3 linked regions of the Saccharomyces cerevisiae S288C genome follow. The protein of the gene in region 2 purifies or fractionates together with the protein of the main gene of each other region. This does not show direct contact. Each region holds a gene or a part of one and is shown on either strand. Other genes may lie near its edges.

Region 1 (4,200 bases), on a different chromosome or scaffold from region 2:
TGACCTCCATGAGTCGATAAGACCAGTGGATTATAGGCGCAAGTCACAACAGAGGTGTGACATCCTTTCCAAAGATCAAAGTCATTGCCTGATCTGATAAGTTTTAGGATTTTTGTAACAAGGAAGCTCAATTCGGATTTTAGCAGCTGTTCATTGATATAAACTGGTGATCTTAAAGTCGCCAAAATGGTATGAAACTCATTACCCTTGGCAATTTCCAGGTTTCTAGCCAAAGTAGAAACTGCGATAAATTCCTCTGACATGCTCAAATTTTGTCTATACTTAGTTTGATAACTGGAAAACCACAAAAATTGAATAGTAGTATTGCATCTATTTTTTACTACATTTTATTATAGTTTAATATTGAAAAATTTTCTTGCGATGACCCGTCTCAAATGATGAAGACAACGTAATCTTTTGAAAATTAATAGCTGCATCAATCAGTGCTTCTCATGTGAAACTTTTCTTTGTATATACTTAAATATATTTAAAATGCTTGATCAATCTTTGTATTCCGATGCGTCGACAAATTCGTCACTTTCTCCATTTGCATAAACAATTGAATCTGGTTCAAGCTTTTCAACAGGCGATGCTTGATCCTGCAAAGGATTACTAATTACATTTGAATGCTCTATAACTTCTATTTCATCATCTTCACCCTCTTGCATAGATAGTTGTGCAAGATCCTCTCTCAATTTTGCTTGCCTCCTCAACATTTCTAATCTACCTTGTATACCGAGTAGAACAGGCAAGATCTCCTCTGAAGATCTTAATGCAGATTTTAAATGCTTGCAATTTTTCTTTGTATGTTTATCCTTTATAGAATTTAACTCCCCACTTTTCAAAGTCAGCAACCACTTAAGCCACAACGGAAGTAAATTTTCTTCATTCCATGGATTTTGTGTTATTGACTTTGATATAGTCAAAAATATCTTACTTAGATGATCTACTGTATTGATCTTGGTTAAGATGAATTTTTTAATCTCTGGTTCTGTCCAACTTCCAGACATCAGATCATCCAATATTTCTGTTGAATTAGCTTCTAAATGCGATGAGAGAATATTAGCAATTTCAACTTGATCTGATTTACTAACTTTCTTGTTTATCTTAGTTTCAGTCTCCTTCTTCTCATGTTGAACTTCAGGCTGAGCTTCTTCTTCTTTCTCTTCTAATTTCTTTTGGTCCGCTTCATCAGCATTATTTTTTTCATTTTTGTTTATTGTAATATACCCCTGAGTTTCAATTTCTTTTAAAGAAATAGATTCAAAGTTGGGTTCATTGACATTTAGCCATGAAATTAGAACCTGTTGCTTGCTGTTTATTGGCGTGAAATCTATAATTTCCAAATCTTCATTTACAACTATAGAACAAACTTTGTCGGCTTCGCCAATCTTATAATTATTAATTTTACCATCAGTAGTCAAAGCCATTATCAAATCATCTAAAGTTTTCAATGTCTTCACTTGGACAGGCCATGATTGGATCAGCTTTGAATCTTCCTTCAAGTCGTAAGCTATTAATTCTTCGTTGTTGGCAATTAACAGATACTTACCGTCTGAAGAAAATTCACATGCTACAGCGTCTGATATTTCAAAACTATACTTAGTAGAGGGTCTTCTCTTTGATGGATCAACAATATAAACCATCTGTTTAGTAATAATGCATACCAATAAAGTGCCATTTTGGTGCAAAATTTGGAAATGAACTATTTCGTCATCTTTACCATCAACTAGCGTAAAAGTCTTTAGAGGTTTCGAATTGTTATACTGTAATTTCTTAACGACTTTATCACTATCCAAAATCCATATATCAGACTCGTCTGTGTCTGCTCCCAAAATCTCTTTTTTATTCTTGATGATATTAACTATATCCTTACCATTAGAAGAGTAAACAACAATTCTTCCGTCAGGAAATCCGTTAACGAAAAAGTTTTCACATCTTTGCTCACTTGATTCACCAGTTCCTTCATCTTCATCTAATTTTCTTTTGATATTGGATGACTGCGTATCTATCAAATCACTACACCACCCAAAGAAGATTACATCTGAAACCTTCATATCGTTTGTCTCATAGTCAATATGACTCACTAATGAACTATTGACCACATAATCCTTAGTTTCATTTAATGGATAAATATCCACATTGTTCTTTTGTGCGACGCTTGCTTGGAATGCAAAACGAGTGGAATCATGCGAGAAGCTCGCCACCAAATCCAAAGAGGAGCCCATTGTGCACTACGGTATGTATATACGTGGAGAATGCCCGGCGTTATATATTGCAACGGAGTACTAATATGTATTTCAACTACATAAAGTTACTTGAAAACTCCATCTCATCGTTAAATTTTTCAAAATTTTTCATGTTTTCTTCTCACCTTTAGAAGAAAAAAATTTTCGCACCTCGTTGTAAGTGACGATGATAACCGAGATGACGGAAATATAGTACATTAGTATCTAAATGGTTGAGAGTATGCTTGTTCAGTGTTCACTTGTGCATCTAGATTACTAGATTTTGTGGGAGATACTTGTATATGCAACAATGATGAAGGCTGGTTTAACGACTTAAGGTCTATCGAGCCCTTGAATGATATGGGGAATGATGTACTTGATTTAAGGGAAGAGGTTGTTCTGGTATCCCGTGAGAGAGAGTCAGGCTCTGCAGTACTTTCCTTTCGGCATTTACTCTGCGACTCAACTTCTGAACTGGAGCTGCAATCCTTTTCCCGGTTATTATCATCCTCACCGTCTGCTTCTCCATTCGGTTCATTTTTGTCTTCTTCCAATTGCTTTTCCAGGTGACAACCTAACAAATCTTCACTCCCTACTTGGTTTAGTGCATTTTCGCTCTTGCTTGTCAAATGGCTGTTACTGTGTTCCTCTTTGGAGGTAAACTCATGTTCCCCTTCCAAAACGTTCATGTCCTTATAGCTTAATATAATAGGTTCGGATCTATTTTTACCAAATTGCAATACTGCTCTTTCACCATCGTTGTAATGCTTCAGCCTCCTTTCGTTTTCAATAAGATCTACATTACAATCGTTATCCTTATCTTCTAGCGTGGTCTCGCGATCACCGTCCAGTACAGTCCACGCGATAGGTAGTAGAAAGGATAGGAGTAGTATAAGAACGTATATTCGTGTGTCCAATTCGCTGGATTGTCTGGAAATGAAATTAAATACTTTACGCCAGCTCAGTTCACCAGCGTCGGGTTGTTCCGCAGTTAAAGCCTCACGCTTATTATCTACCAAGTTTTTCAACCTATCTATAGTGAAAATTAACTCATAGTCCACTTTCTGGGGCTCTATCCATCCCTGTCTTTCCAAATGCTTACGAACTGTTTTTTCAACACCTTTCAAAACGGCTACAGAAAGACCTAACGAAAAGATTCCACGAACCAATGGGGGACGAGTCATGCTTATTATATTTTACAATTATATTTGTAGCTTTTTTGATATTATGCACACACGCAAACGCAACAGTTGTTGGTTCCAATTTTTGTTTGGTTTAATTCCTTCTCTTCCCACACACTCTCTCACTCACAAAAATCTGGACAGAAGAAGCCTCACCTTTTTGTTTTGCAGCTCCTCTTCCCCTTCTCTCCTTCATAAGGGGGTGGGTCCTGATATTTTTCGTCTATTTTTTTTCAAATAGGATTTTCCGCAGTGTAGAAAGAAGAAAGATGCGTCACAAATTAGATAAACTGATAGAAAGAACGATGCTATGTAAATGCATATGTACAGAAAGTGACAGGAGTAGGTATTCCTCACGCGATAGCACCGAGACTCATCAAAATCACCTGGAGTATAAGTTGCAGTGACCAAAAGCCCACCCTTCTCAAGCGTAATGTCCTCTTTTCATCGTCAGCGACGTAGTCGGCGAAGGCATCGTACGCTTCCGCACTTAGATCCCGCATAAGGTATGAATCATATATGGTCCAGGAGCCCTCAAAATCAGACTTTTTCTTTACAATGCGGCATTTGATTGGGATGTATGTCCTGTGAGAATTGATGTACCCGACAATAGGCCTTATCAATGCACTATTGATATACGTTAAGCCAGAAGTGAACAGAGGGACTTCGGCTTTGACATTGTATAGTCTTAAAGAAAAGTCCATAATAAAGTAGTCGTTCGGGTCAATTTCATCAACGGCCGGGGAGAATCCTGGCCCAACCAGAGGAAGGGATGAAGTGTACCTTTTCGC
Region 2 (6,213 bases):
AAATGGCATAGAATGTTGAGCCGTGTCACTTATTTGTTTTATTGGTACATTGATCTGATTTTCCCAAATTCTTACCGTCTTATCCTCTGAAGAAGAAATAAACTTCGAACCATCGGGAAAATACTTGAGAGCCAGAATGCTACTTAGGTGATGATCATATGTCTGCACAAGACCTTGATTTTCTGAAACACGATCATCATAATGTAATATTTTCGAATTCGATAAACCTACAATGAACTCATGTGGGTTAGTGGGCCGAGATTCAACATCTGCAGGCGTTGAATTAAGGTGCAACCTGGTTTTCACTTTACCAGTTTCAGTATCCCAAATTTTAACGCTTCTATCAAAGGAAGAGCTCAAAAAAGATTGACAGTCTTCGGTGAATCGTAATGCTTTAATAGGCTTGTTATGACCTTGAAAATCTCGTAGGCATTCATAGTCATGGTAGAAATCCCAAATTTTTATAGTATGATCATTACCACCAGAGAGAATTAAGTGTCCAGTTTTAGGTAAGAATTTCAGGGCAGTGGTTCCTTCTGGATGCCCCGGATAATTACGTATAACTTTTTTTGGTAAGTAACACCGAAAGGATATCCTTTCCTCACGAAGATCAACATCGACGTCATTTGGTGGATATAAATATCCTCTGCCTTGATAGTCCTTTTCTGATTTACCATAAAAATGGGAGACTTCCTCTACCTCTATCTGTTCCGAATCTAGGTTGTCCTCAGCCAGCGCGTGCACGAAGATATCCTGATCTTCTTTCTGAGTTTCGCTGGCTTGTGAAGTTTCATCGTCACTACTTGACCAACTGCCCCACGGCCCATCTCCTTTGCGAGTTTTCCGTCTTCTTTTTAGTTCTGACTTTGTAAAATGTGATTTTCTCTTATGAATATTATTTGAAGAAGGTTCATACGAAGTATCTTCATGCAAATTACCATTTTTCTTTTCATGAACAGATTTGCCTTCGTCGAAGTTCAAATCAGAGTCTGAGCTTGTGTCATAACCGTCTACTAAACCCATTTCATCTGCTCTTCAAAGTACATGCCGTGTTTGTTGCACTATTTGGCCAAAAATAAAGGAAAAATTTCAAGATTTTTTTTTTACCTCATCTCTAGCAAGGACACAGTACTCCCTCGTAAATAAGACAAAATACAAAAAAGAAAATTCAAAGAAATGGTATTACAAGAACCGGTCAGAGAAACATTACGATAATTGATATCAACTACAAATCCAATGATGCATTCTTTATAATTGTACATATCTATTTGTATTCAAGTTTCATTTAAATACTATTTCATTGACTGCTTTAAACCTTTACCTTCTTGGATGATTTGCTTTTCTTTTTCAACTTGTTTACCAAGTTACCAATATCTTCATTATCATCTGCGTTATTGGTCATATTGTTTTCACTACCGCCAAGTTTTCTTTTCTTATTCTTAACACGTTTACTACGTTCTTTTAGGATTTTACTCATAGCTTGTGTACCTTTGAATTCAGGCTGGGTCGGGTCGATAGCAAAATCGTGATCTTCGAAGACTTCTTTAAATCTAGGATCTTCTAAATCAGGTGTAAAGGTGTCTTCAACAATTCTCTCTTTCTTTTGATACCGGCCTTTCTTGTGTTTTTCTTTTTCTGATCTTAAGATTTCGTTCATGTTGAAATGTGCTTTGTTATTTATTGTGCCCTGAGTTTCGGTATCATCATCATCATCCATTAAAAGCTCCAATTCAGCCTTTGATTTGGCATTCTTTTCGATCTCCTCTTCATCGTTAGTATGCTTTTTATTAACAGATTTCAACTTGCTTTTCTTATCCTTCTCCGACTGCTGTTTCAATTCCTTTACTTTCTGCTTTCTTGCTTTACGACGTTCCTTCTCTTTTCTTCTTATTTTCTCTATAGTCGTTTCTTCTTTGTCTTCCGACGATTTCTCGTTTCCTCCTTCCAAGGCTGGAGTAAATGTAATTTCCATATCAACTTCTTCATCTTCATCGTTAGGGGTTTCTTTCTTGGAATTAAACCCAAAGTCACCAACCAACGACTTTAGTTTATTTTTCGCCTCTTCATCGACCTGCCCATCCGATTCATCACTATCTGACGCCAAGTAAGCCTTAAAGTCCATATCATCAATTTCCTTTTGGGTAAAGGCCCTCTTAGCAACTTCGACCCTATCAGCTGGCGTTTCATCCCAGGTCAATTTGACGCTTGAATGTTGTAGAGCATCTGTGCTAAACTGGTGTGGCCTATAGTTCTTAGGCAATATACTGCATTCATCTCTTACATCATCATCAAAAGTCATACCATCAGGAACATACCTTAAATCGAACATATTAGCGGTTGACTCATATTCGGTACCATCACAGTTATCATAGATAGCTTTGGAGGTGGTTGTATCACTACAATAAACTATTGCGTAATAATATCTTAATCTGTCCAACTGGTATTGACGTAAAGCTCTGGAATCCACGTCCTTGTCAGCATCTCCCTCTTCATAAAGATCCTTAATACCGATGTCCATATCAGAATCAGAGTCATCAGTTTTCTTCTTTTTGGAGGTTTTGTTCTTATTTTTCTTTTGGAAAAGTTCCTTTGGAGGTCCTTCAACTTCCTCGCGTTGCATTCTTTCTTTACCAAATTCACTTGGATAAATAGCAACTCTTTCAATTTTACCACCTTTAGGAACGAAACTGGAAAAGGTAATCATCAAATCCTCAGATTTAACATGGTCCCAATCTAAATTTACGACGGCCAAATTCTTAGAGATGTCACCAGATTCTGGTTTGGCATTTTCAATTTCTACTTCATTTTCTTCTTCGCTTTCAACTTCACTTTCTCCGGACGATTCAGAATCAGAAGAAGTGAATTCATCAGAAGAGCTAACATAATCATCAGGAACTTCACCACGGGCACGGTCCACTACTGTTTTCGCATTAACTTCTGAATCTTCATCATTTTCTGCTTCCTTTTCGAAATATTTGTCGAAATCTTCCAATTCCCTGTTATTCTGCGCATTTTTGATCTTTCTACCATACTTGTCAACCTTAGATTTATGCTGGACCTCCAGATCCTTCTTACTGAACCTAGAATCTAACTTGATCTTATGATCTTTGGTTTTCGTGTTCTTAAATTTAGGATCGCTGTAGATCCCGGCAAACCTAGCATCTACACCTTCCTTCTTTGGGTTCTCTCCAGCCATCTTCAATTTTTCTTGCAACCTTATACGATCCGCTGAAATGTCTTGAAAAATATTCCGGACCCACAGTTATGTGATATTTATTATTTGTACCATTATGCTAATGATGAATTTGAGATGAGATGAGATGAAATTTTTTCTGTAACTGAAAAATTTCGGAACGTCAATAATGATCGGTAGCCTCATCTGGGATATTTGGCCCGGCTCATATTGCTAATCTTTGGATATAGGGCTATTAGCAGATTTCAATCGTCCTCTCTTGGCATAGTAGACACAGAGTTGTATTTGCGCTTCTGAGCGATGCTTCCGAGATTGTTGAAGCATGTTGGAATAGAAATCAACTATCATCTACTAACTAGTATTTACATTACTAGTATATTATCATATACGGTGTTAGAAGATGACGCAAATGATGAGAAATAGTCATCTAAATTAGTGGAAGCTGAAACGCAAGGATTGATAATGTAATAGGATCAATGAATATAAACATATAAAATGATGATAATAATATTTATAGAATTGTGTAGAATTGCAGATTCCCTTTTATGGATTCCTAAATCCTTGAGGAGAACTTCTAGTATATTCTGTATACCTAATATTATAGCCTTTATCAACAATGGAATCCCAACAATTATCTCAACATTCACCCATTTCTCATGGTAGCGCCTGTGCTTCGGTTACTTCTAAGGAAGTCCACACAAATCAAGATCCGTTAGACGTTTCAGCTTCCAAAACAGAAGAATGTGAGAAGGCTTCCACTAAGGCTAACTCTCAACAGACAACAACACCTGCTTCATCAGCTGTTCCAGAGAACCCCCATCATGCCTCTCCTCAACCTGCTTCAGTACCACCTCCACAGAATGGGCCGTACCCACAGCAGTGCATGATGACCCAAAACCAAGCCAATCCATCTGGTTGGTCATTTTACGGACACCCATCTATGATTCCGTATACACCTTATCAAATGTCGCCTATGTACTTTCCACCTGGGCCACAATCACAGTTTCCGCAGTATCCATCATCAGTTGGAACGCCTCTGAGCACTCCATCACCTGAGTCAGGTAATACATTTACTGATTCATCCTCAGCGGACTCTGATATGACATCCACTAAAAAATATGTCAGACCACCACCAATGTTAACCTCACCTAATGACTTTCCAAATTGGGTTAAAACATACATCAAATTTTTACAAAACTCGAATCTCGGTGGTATTATTCCGACAGTAAACGGAAAACCCGTACGTCAGATCACTGATGATGAACTCACCTTCTTGTATAACACTTTTCAAATATTTGCTCCCTCTCAATTCCTACCTACCTGGGTCAAAGACATCCTATCCGTTGATTATACGGATATCATGAAAATTCTTTCCAAAAGTATTGAAAAAATGCAATCTGATACCCAAGAGGCAAACGACATTGTGACCCTGGCAAATTTGCAATATAATGGCAGTACACCTGCAGATGCATTTGAAACAAAAGTCACAAACATTATCGACAGACTGAACAATAATGGCATTCATATCAATAACAAGGTCGCATGCCAATTAATTATGAGAGGTCTATCTGGCGAATATAAATTTTTACGCTACACACGTCATCGACATCTAAATATGACAGTCGCTGAACTGTTCTTAGATATCCATGCTATTTATGAAGAACAACAGGGATCGAGAAACAGCAAACCTAATTACAGGAGAAATCTGAGTGATGAGAAGAATGATTCTCGCAGCTATACGAATACAACCAAACCCAAAGTTATAGCTCGGAATCCTCAAAAAACAAATAATTCGAAATCGAAAACAGCCAGGGCTCACAATGTATCCACATCTAATAACTCTCCCAGCACGGACAACGATTCCATCAGTAAATCAACTACTGAACCGATTCAATTGAACAATAAGCACGACCTTCACCTTAGGCCAGGAACTTACTGAATCTACGGTAAATCACACTAATCATTCTGATGATGAACTCCCTGGACACCTCCTTCTCGATTCAGGAGCATCACGAACCCTTATAAGATCTGCTCATCACATACACTCAGCATCATCTAATCCTGACATAAACGTAGTTGATGCTCAAAAAAGAAATATACCAATTAACGCTATTGGTGACCTACAATTTCACTTCCAGGACAACACCAAAACATCAATAAAGGTATTGCACACTCCTAACATAGCCTATGACTTACTCAGTTTGAATGAATTGGCTGCAGTAGATATCACAGCATGCTTTACCAAAAACGTCTTAGAACGATCTGACGGCACTGTACTTGCACCTATCGTACAATATGGAGACTTTTACTGGGTATCTAAAAGGTACTTGCTTCCATCAAATATCTCCGTACCCACCATCAATAATGTCCATACAAGTGAAAGTACACGCAAATATCCTTATCCTTTCATTCATCGAATGCTTGCGCATGCCAATGCACAGACAATTCGATACTCACTTAAAAATAACACCATCACGTATTTTAACGAATCAGATGTCGACTGGTCTAGTGCTATTGACTATCAATGTCCTGATTGTTTAATCGGCAAAAGCACCAAACACAGACATATCAAAGGTTCACGACTAAAATACCAAAATTCATACGAACCCTTTCAATACCTACATACTGACATATTTGGTCCAGTTCACAACCTACCAAATAGTGCACCATCCTATTTCATCTCATTTACTGATGAGACAACAAAATTCCGTTGGGTTTATCCATTACACGACCGTCGCGAGGACTCTATCCTCGATGTTTTTACTACGATACTAGCTTTTATTAAGAACCAGTTTCAGGCCAGTGTCTTGGTTATACAAATGGACCGTGGTTCTGAGTATACTAACAGAACTCTCCATAAATTCCTTGAAAAAAATGGTATAACTCCATGCTATACAACCACAGCGGATTCCCGAGCACATGGAGTCGCTGAACGGCTAAACCGTACCTTATTAGATGACTGCCGTACTCAACTGCAATGTAGTGGTTTACCGAACTATTTATGGTTCTCTGCAATCGAA
Region 3 (6,478 bases), on a different chromosome or scaffold from region 2:
TATTTGCTACCGTGTTTATTACCGTCATTCATCGCCCCATCTCATCGCTTTTGCGCACCGGGTTCAGATCATTCAATTTTCTTACTTTTTTATTATGGGGTTCCTCCCTGAGTGTAATTTAACGTGTGCTTTCTTATTGCATTCGTTTACATTCCCTATTGCTCATTGCCCTTCTTTCAGTTGGGCATCTTTTTTTTTCACAATTAGGCCGCCCTTTTTTCCCAAATTGGCACTTGTTTGTACGATCTTTAGCTAGAACTTGGAGACCTGAAACGTGGTGATTCTTATATTTAAAGGAATACCGATCTTTTCCGTTTCAACACCCCAATTGTGAGAATTTTATTTCTTGCATTTCGGAAAATTTAGATACATTCACATCCATACTTGGACACATATATATATACAATATAATCATTGACACAGGCCATCGCCATTGAGTAAACTGTCTTTGAACTGTCTAAAGAACTTAGAACTATAGTGTTGTCCCAAGAAGTTAAAAATTGAACACTTGTGAGAATTATAAAACAGAGTAAGCAAAGAAAGAATAGAGAAACAATACTCCGCTACCGATTCTCCTTTTTTTCCTTATAAAAAAAGCTCGAGAATAATTACTTTATTCTTATCCCTCCACTCCTTTCAGGTATTCTTTACCGATTTGCATATCAATCATATAATGAGCACCGCATTCAACGATTACTGCACTGTTTGTGATCGTCTCATTCCAACATCTCCACAGAAAACGAACATTAATACCAGGAAGATCCAAAGGGACAATGAAACCAAGAGCAGTTTACAATCAAATAAGTTATATTGCTCCGAAGATTGTAAGCTGAAGGATTCGAACCCTCTTAATGAGAAATTATTATCCCACTTGCATAAAAAATCAAAAACTTCTCATTCGCATAATCTCACTCCACCGCTTTCATATTCTAAAAATTTAACTGCATCAAACCTCTTCGAGCCGACTACCTCACTATCTTCATCTCCGACATCTTCAACTATCCCCTTTGACGAGTTGGAGAAGCTAGAGTCCTTATTAATTTCACCATTGCTGCTACCTCAGGATGGTATAGTCAATCCTAAGCAGGAGTCTAATCCTTCTCGTGTTGACGAATATGATGAAAATGAACATTATTTGAACTTAGCCGACTCTCTTAGACTCGATTCTAGTTACCAATTGCATTCAAAGGCACATTTGGGTTACGAAAACAACTTGCCACGATCAAACGATCTAATTGATGATCATTTGATCTCAGATCAGATCATTGAGAATAACTACAACCTATGGTTTAGACTATCCTCCAGTTAAACGGCTTCACTTGCTTCGTATCTTCTTCGACTTGCCTTTAACCTACTCATGATTCATGCTTATTTTTTCTTTTTCGATTTCCTTTTCTAGTCATCCTAAAAAAAAAAAACCTACACATATACATATATACATAGTTCTCTACACATCCTTTTGATAAAGAAAATATGTACGTACATCTGCATTAAAAAAAAAAAACAAAACCCTCAATATTTGGGGAAAGAATTCTATAATGTAAACTGTATCACGCATACTTTTTGCTGTCTTCGTCTTCATACATATAATATTTTTAGTTTAAGGTGAAAGGATAATTAAAATATCAATTTCTAATATAACTACATACCACGGAACGCATTTTTGCTAGCTCTTCTTCTATTTTCGAATCTGGGCTTCGACCTACCATTGTCCTTCTTATTACCATTTTCGTCAATACCTTCTTCATCCGATGAATTATCATGACGCCTGGATTTATAATTTCCGTCTTTTTTGCTTTTTCTTTGAGGAATAAAAGTAAGTTCTGCTTCACCGCGTTGGTTACGACGTAAAATGGATTCATTTGATTTCTTTCCATTTTCCACCTCAAGCAATTCGCCTACTTGTTCGCCAAATGTAACGTGAGCACTTTCGTCTCTTTGCGTACTCGTGGAAGTGCCGGCTTTCATTTCGTTCATAAAACGTTCGCTTTGCTCCTTTTCCTTCTTTCTGCGTTCAATTAGTGCCTTTTGCTTTTCCATCTTTCTCAAATCTTTTTCACTTAATTCTTCCTTATTTGACTTTTGGTTCGTTTCATCATCAGATTCTTCTTCATCAGACTCTTCATCCTCGTAGTCATAGTGACCTCTGCCATCCTTCATTGCAATTCTTTCTTCGTCGGACTCTTCGGCAGCAGTTAGCGCCCTAATACGTTTAGCAGCACCTTCTTCGGTTTCTTTGATGGATTTTACTGGATTCAATTGTTTGAAATCATAGTCATCTTCATCGACTTGAAATTCTTCATCCTCAAACATTTCTTTGAAACGGTCATCCGTAAGAACCTTTCCTGCAACTTTATCACCACGTTTTTGAGATAGTTTATCAACCAATGTTTTATTGACTTTAATTTTAGGTTTTTGAACAGCCCCTGAACTTCTGATTCTGGATTCTCTTTCTTTCTCAATTCTACGTCTAATTTCTCTTTCTCTTTCATCTTTGTAGGCATCTGGATTAGCAATTAATGAAACCTTATCGTAAAGTTCAGTGTTAATAAAGAAACCATGCATGTATGCTCTTAATACTCTGGATCCCACCAAGTGCGTTAAATTCAATTTTTTAACGTCGTCTCTAGTAATGAACCTGTAGTTAGAGTAAACAGTGTCACTTGGTTTTTCTTCTAATTCTTCTGTGATAGAATCCAAGAATGAGCACCAGCGTGGAGATGGTCCTAAACTTGGAATATAATATGTATGCATGGGAATACTTTCGTTAGCGGTGAAAAACATACCTGTACCTGGTACATGCTCAATGTCGTTAATATCAACACTAGGCTCCATAGAAGCGTATGCCTTACCATCTAGTCTATCCCATATTTTTGCAATTCTCTTGTCACATGTAACAATTTTATTTTCCGTGCCGACGTTATCCAACCAAATAATTTTCTTAATGTCAAACCCATAACCTTGGTCTTTAATAATGGAAGGTTCAGAAGTACGCAAGTCATAAATGTATGAATAACCGTTCGACGTACCACATGCAAAAGTTAACCCGTCATTACGGAAACTGGTTGTGGTGACTTGGAATGGTCTGTTGTCAATATTGTTCTCTAAATATAGCTTTGAAACACGGGAACGCGACCTTGGATCCCAGAATTCCACTACATTTGTTTCCGTGCCTGCCGCTAACAACCCATTTACTTCATTGATAGAAACATGGTTCACGCCTTCAGTATCCAACTTGAATGGGTTTAAAAATCTCCCCTTTTCCAAGTTCAACCTGTATAACTCATTACCGCTCGCACCAACATATAAATCACAGTTTACCTTATTGTAAACTAAACTTCTCCCAAATTTAGGAATTCTTGTGGTGTAATGTAGACCACCTTTGTTTTGGAATTGAATACTTCTATCATTTTGTAAATGTACACTTTTAGTCCAATCGTCAGAGAGAATAGTGAAATCCACGTTTTCAGCATCTGTGTGTCTATCGAACTTCAGTGACAAATTAGCAAAATCGTAGACATGGATCTGAGGTTTGTATGTACCGGTAGCCATGCAATATTGCCCATCTCTACTCACTTTAATCTTATTGGAGGCTTCGCTAAATTCAAAATCTTGAATCAGTTCTACTCTATTTTGATATTCTAAATCATTCTTTAATTGCCTTTTGCGCTTTTTCGCAATCCAGTCTGGAAGTGATCTTGAAACGTTTGTACCAGAAACCTGATATACTGAAACATCATTTGCGGAAGTAGATTTCAAAACCATAATGTCCCCTTTTTGAAGATATATGTTGATACCTGTAACTGATGTAATAAATGATGTGTTACTGATTACAGCCGATGAGATGAGATGAGCTTAGCTCAAAATTTTCAATTTTTTTTTTTCTTAATTTTTTTTAAGATCATATTTGGTTACCCGACCATGAAGTGACATTTGAAGAATTGATTTATATTTTTAATATTGCAAGATGTGCGAAAACTCACCATTACAGAGATAACTAAAAGTCTTATCTCATCACTATCGGATCTTTCCACTTAGTATTTTCTACGGTTAATTTAAAAATCAATAATAAAACAAAATCATCAGCGAAAATTGTGTATATAGCGTGTATAAAAAATATATAAATCTTTAAAAGCATACCTCATTAAAAGCCTAAGCAGCAAAGTGTTTCAAAATTTGCTCAGCAGCATGAACACCACTCAAAGCCATAGCTCCAAAAGTTGGACCCATACGGTTTAATCCATCCAGTTCAGCAACTTCCATACCAGCAAAGTACATGTTGTCAACACCGGCGTATGCACCAGAGTGAATAACGACATCGTGTTCGGCATGGTTCATGTCCAGACCCTTCATACCGCCCAATTTTTGGTTTTGATCAATGTCGACGATTCTCTTGGCGCAGAAAGCACCAAATGGACCATCATGACCGGTAGTGGATAAAATGACACCATGCTTTTGACTCAAGTCACGAGTTCCGTCATTTTTGTAACCTGCCAATTCAATTACGTTAGGGTCCATGCAACATTGAGTACCGTGAGCTTGGGTAACTAACGTCCAGTTGGTGACAACACCAGCAACGGTGACTTCGCCCTTTTCGGTAGGTGGTCTGGTAACCAAATCTTCAACACAGGTAGCATTGAACAGTTTAACATTTGGTAATTGCAAGACCTTTGAAAGGACAGTAGAGATGAACAAAGCGGCATGCTTAACGACAACATAGTCACCTTCGTCTTCGTAAGGGATTTCCAACTCTTGTAAGAACAAATGAGCTGGTTTTCTCATAACCATGGCACTAAATAATTGACCACCCAACCAACTACCACCACCTGGTGCAACTGAACTTTCGATAATACAAACCTTCAAGTCTGGTCTGTTCTTGGCGATGACGTAAGCGGCGGATAAACCTGAAGAGCCCGCACCGACAATAATCACGTCAGAAACGGCAAACTTGTCAAGATCCTTGAAATAACGAGAAGTCATAGCACGAGAGACAGTGGATTCGCGGATGGGAGCAAATTTAAAGTCAGACCAATCTTCTTTCTTAACGATGTCAGATAAGCAGTGAGTAACTGGAGTAGAGTTTAAGTGCAATTGAGAGGCACTTGTGGAAGTAGCAGTAGAGGTAGCAGACATTTTGATAGTTAGTTGATTTTTTTGGTTGTGATTTATTATTTCTAGATGATAAGAAAGAGAACATAAAAGATATTTCCCGACTACTTAATACACAATTTATTCCAATATTTATATATCTGGGTAGTTCATAAATTGAAAATCAAAAAATCAATTTCATGATCCATTTCTATTAGTGCTCGTAAAAAAATTTACGATTGAACTTGGTAACTGATAGAATACCAGATTCTTTACTATCAATTATGTATGTTTTTTAACGTGCATAATTATTAAAAGACCATTTGATTTTAAAAATGACGTTAGGAGATCGGACATTTTATGAAAACTTCAGAAAAAGGGCTTAAAGTAGAGTATCGTTTTGGACGTCTACAGGAAAATGGGGTGGTAAATGTTCTTGGCGTAAAAAAAAACTATTCACTAAAGCAATTGAGTGCCGATCCCTGTTGAGGAATGCTCATAAAGAGAAAGTATCAGAATTATTCCCCGCCGTAAATTTGTAAAAAAAGGGTAAAAAACGGTTAATCCTGAAGGGGCTTGGAAAGCTCGCCAGCTTCTTGTAATTCTTGACGCCACATATAGCAATCACTAACGAAGAAGTTGACTTTTTAGGGGGTTGATAAGCATTTTTCCCACCCATTTGCATCAGTTAATGTCAATTCAGTCATGATTTGCAAGATATTAGGAGAAAAAGTATGAAAATTAAAAAAGTAATCTTGAGCGGTACGAGAATCGAACCCGTGTCCCCACCTTGGAAGGGTGGGATGATAACCACTACACTAACCGCCCGGGGTTAACTTGAAAGCTCTAAAAGCTCGTTTTCCATATATAGGCATGTTACAATTCCTTTCCATTCTTTCCATTTTATCCATTATCTGATGCATTTCCCTGATAGAATAAGAACAAACTACCATCCATCGATTAGTATTCATGTCACTAGTATATTAATTATCATTTATGATGTAAAAAGAGGACATAAAAGTTATAGAACAGTCATTAGGTTTAATAAAAGCTTAAATAAGAGGATCGATGAAATAGTAGGATAGTGAAACATATAAAATGGAAAAGAAATAATAATACTATTAGGTAGATATATTGATTCCCTTTGGATTCCTGTATCTTGCAGAAGAACTTTCAACATTTTTTCTATACGCAATATCGTAGCCTGTAACAATAATTGTTGGGATTCCATTATTGATAAAGCAATAATGTTAGGTATGTAGGATATACTAGAATTTCTACTCGAGGGTATAGGAATCCTCAAAATAGAATCGAAATTTCTACATAATAATTGAAGAGAGTGTGGGTTCTGATGTAATTGTTGGGATTCCATTGTGATTAAGGCTATAAT

What was found.
Region 1: the proteins of ESF1 (region 2) and UTP9 purify together in Saccharomyces cerevisiae (affinity purification with mass spectrometry, with the first as the bait; 2 studies listed by BioGRID). This does not show direct contact.
Region 3: the proteins of ESF1 (region 2) and ENP2 purify together in Saccharomyces cerevisiae (affinity purification with mass spectrometry, with the first as the bait; 3 studies listed by BioGRID). This does not show direct contact.

Annotation. Positions count from the first base shown.
Region 1 is NC_001140.6:489,959-494,158, reverse strand, and holds UTP9 (Utp9p), read right to left. Parts: upstream 2,229-4,200; coding exon 501-2,228; downstream 1-500. Other genes in the region: RIX1 (Rix1p), read right to left, coding at 1-263; NVJ1 (Nvj1p), read right to left, coding at 2,447-3,412; MDM31 (Mdm31p), read right to left, coding at 3,763-4,200. UniProt on the Saccharomyces cerevisiae protein: Involved in nucleolar processing of pre-18S ribosomal RNA. Required for optimal pre-ribosomal RNA transcription by RNA polymerase I together with a subset of U3 proteins required for transcription (t-UTPs).
Region 2 is NC_001136.10:1,203,188-1,209,400, forward strand, and holds ESF1 (pre-rRNA-processing protein ESF1), read right to left. Parts: upstream 3,197-6,213; coding exon 1,310-3,196; downstream 1-1,309. Other genes in the region: CDC40 (Cdc40p), read right to left, coding at 1-1,023; YDR365W-A (gag protein), read left to right, coding at 3,810-5,132. UniProt on the Saccharomyces cerevisiae protein: Involved in the 18S rRNA synthesis. Required for the early cleavages at sites A0, A1 and A2.
Region 3 is NC_001139.9:779,054-785,531, reverse strand, and holds ENP2 (ribosome biosynthesis protein ENP2), read right to left. Parts: upstream 3,766-6,478; coding exon 1,642-3,765; downstream 1-1,641. Other genes in the region: YGR146C-A (uncharacterized protein), read left to right, coding at 95-256; ECL1 (Ecl1p), read left to right, coding at 674-1,309; THI4 (thiamine thiazole synthase), read right to left, coding at 4,153-5,133. UniProt on the Saccharomyces cerevisiae protein: May be involved in rRNA-processing and ribosome biosynthesis.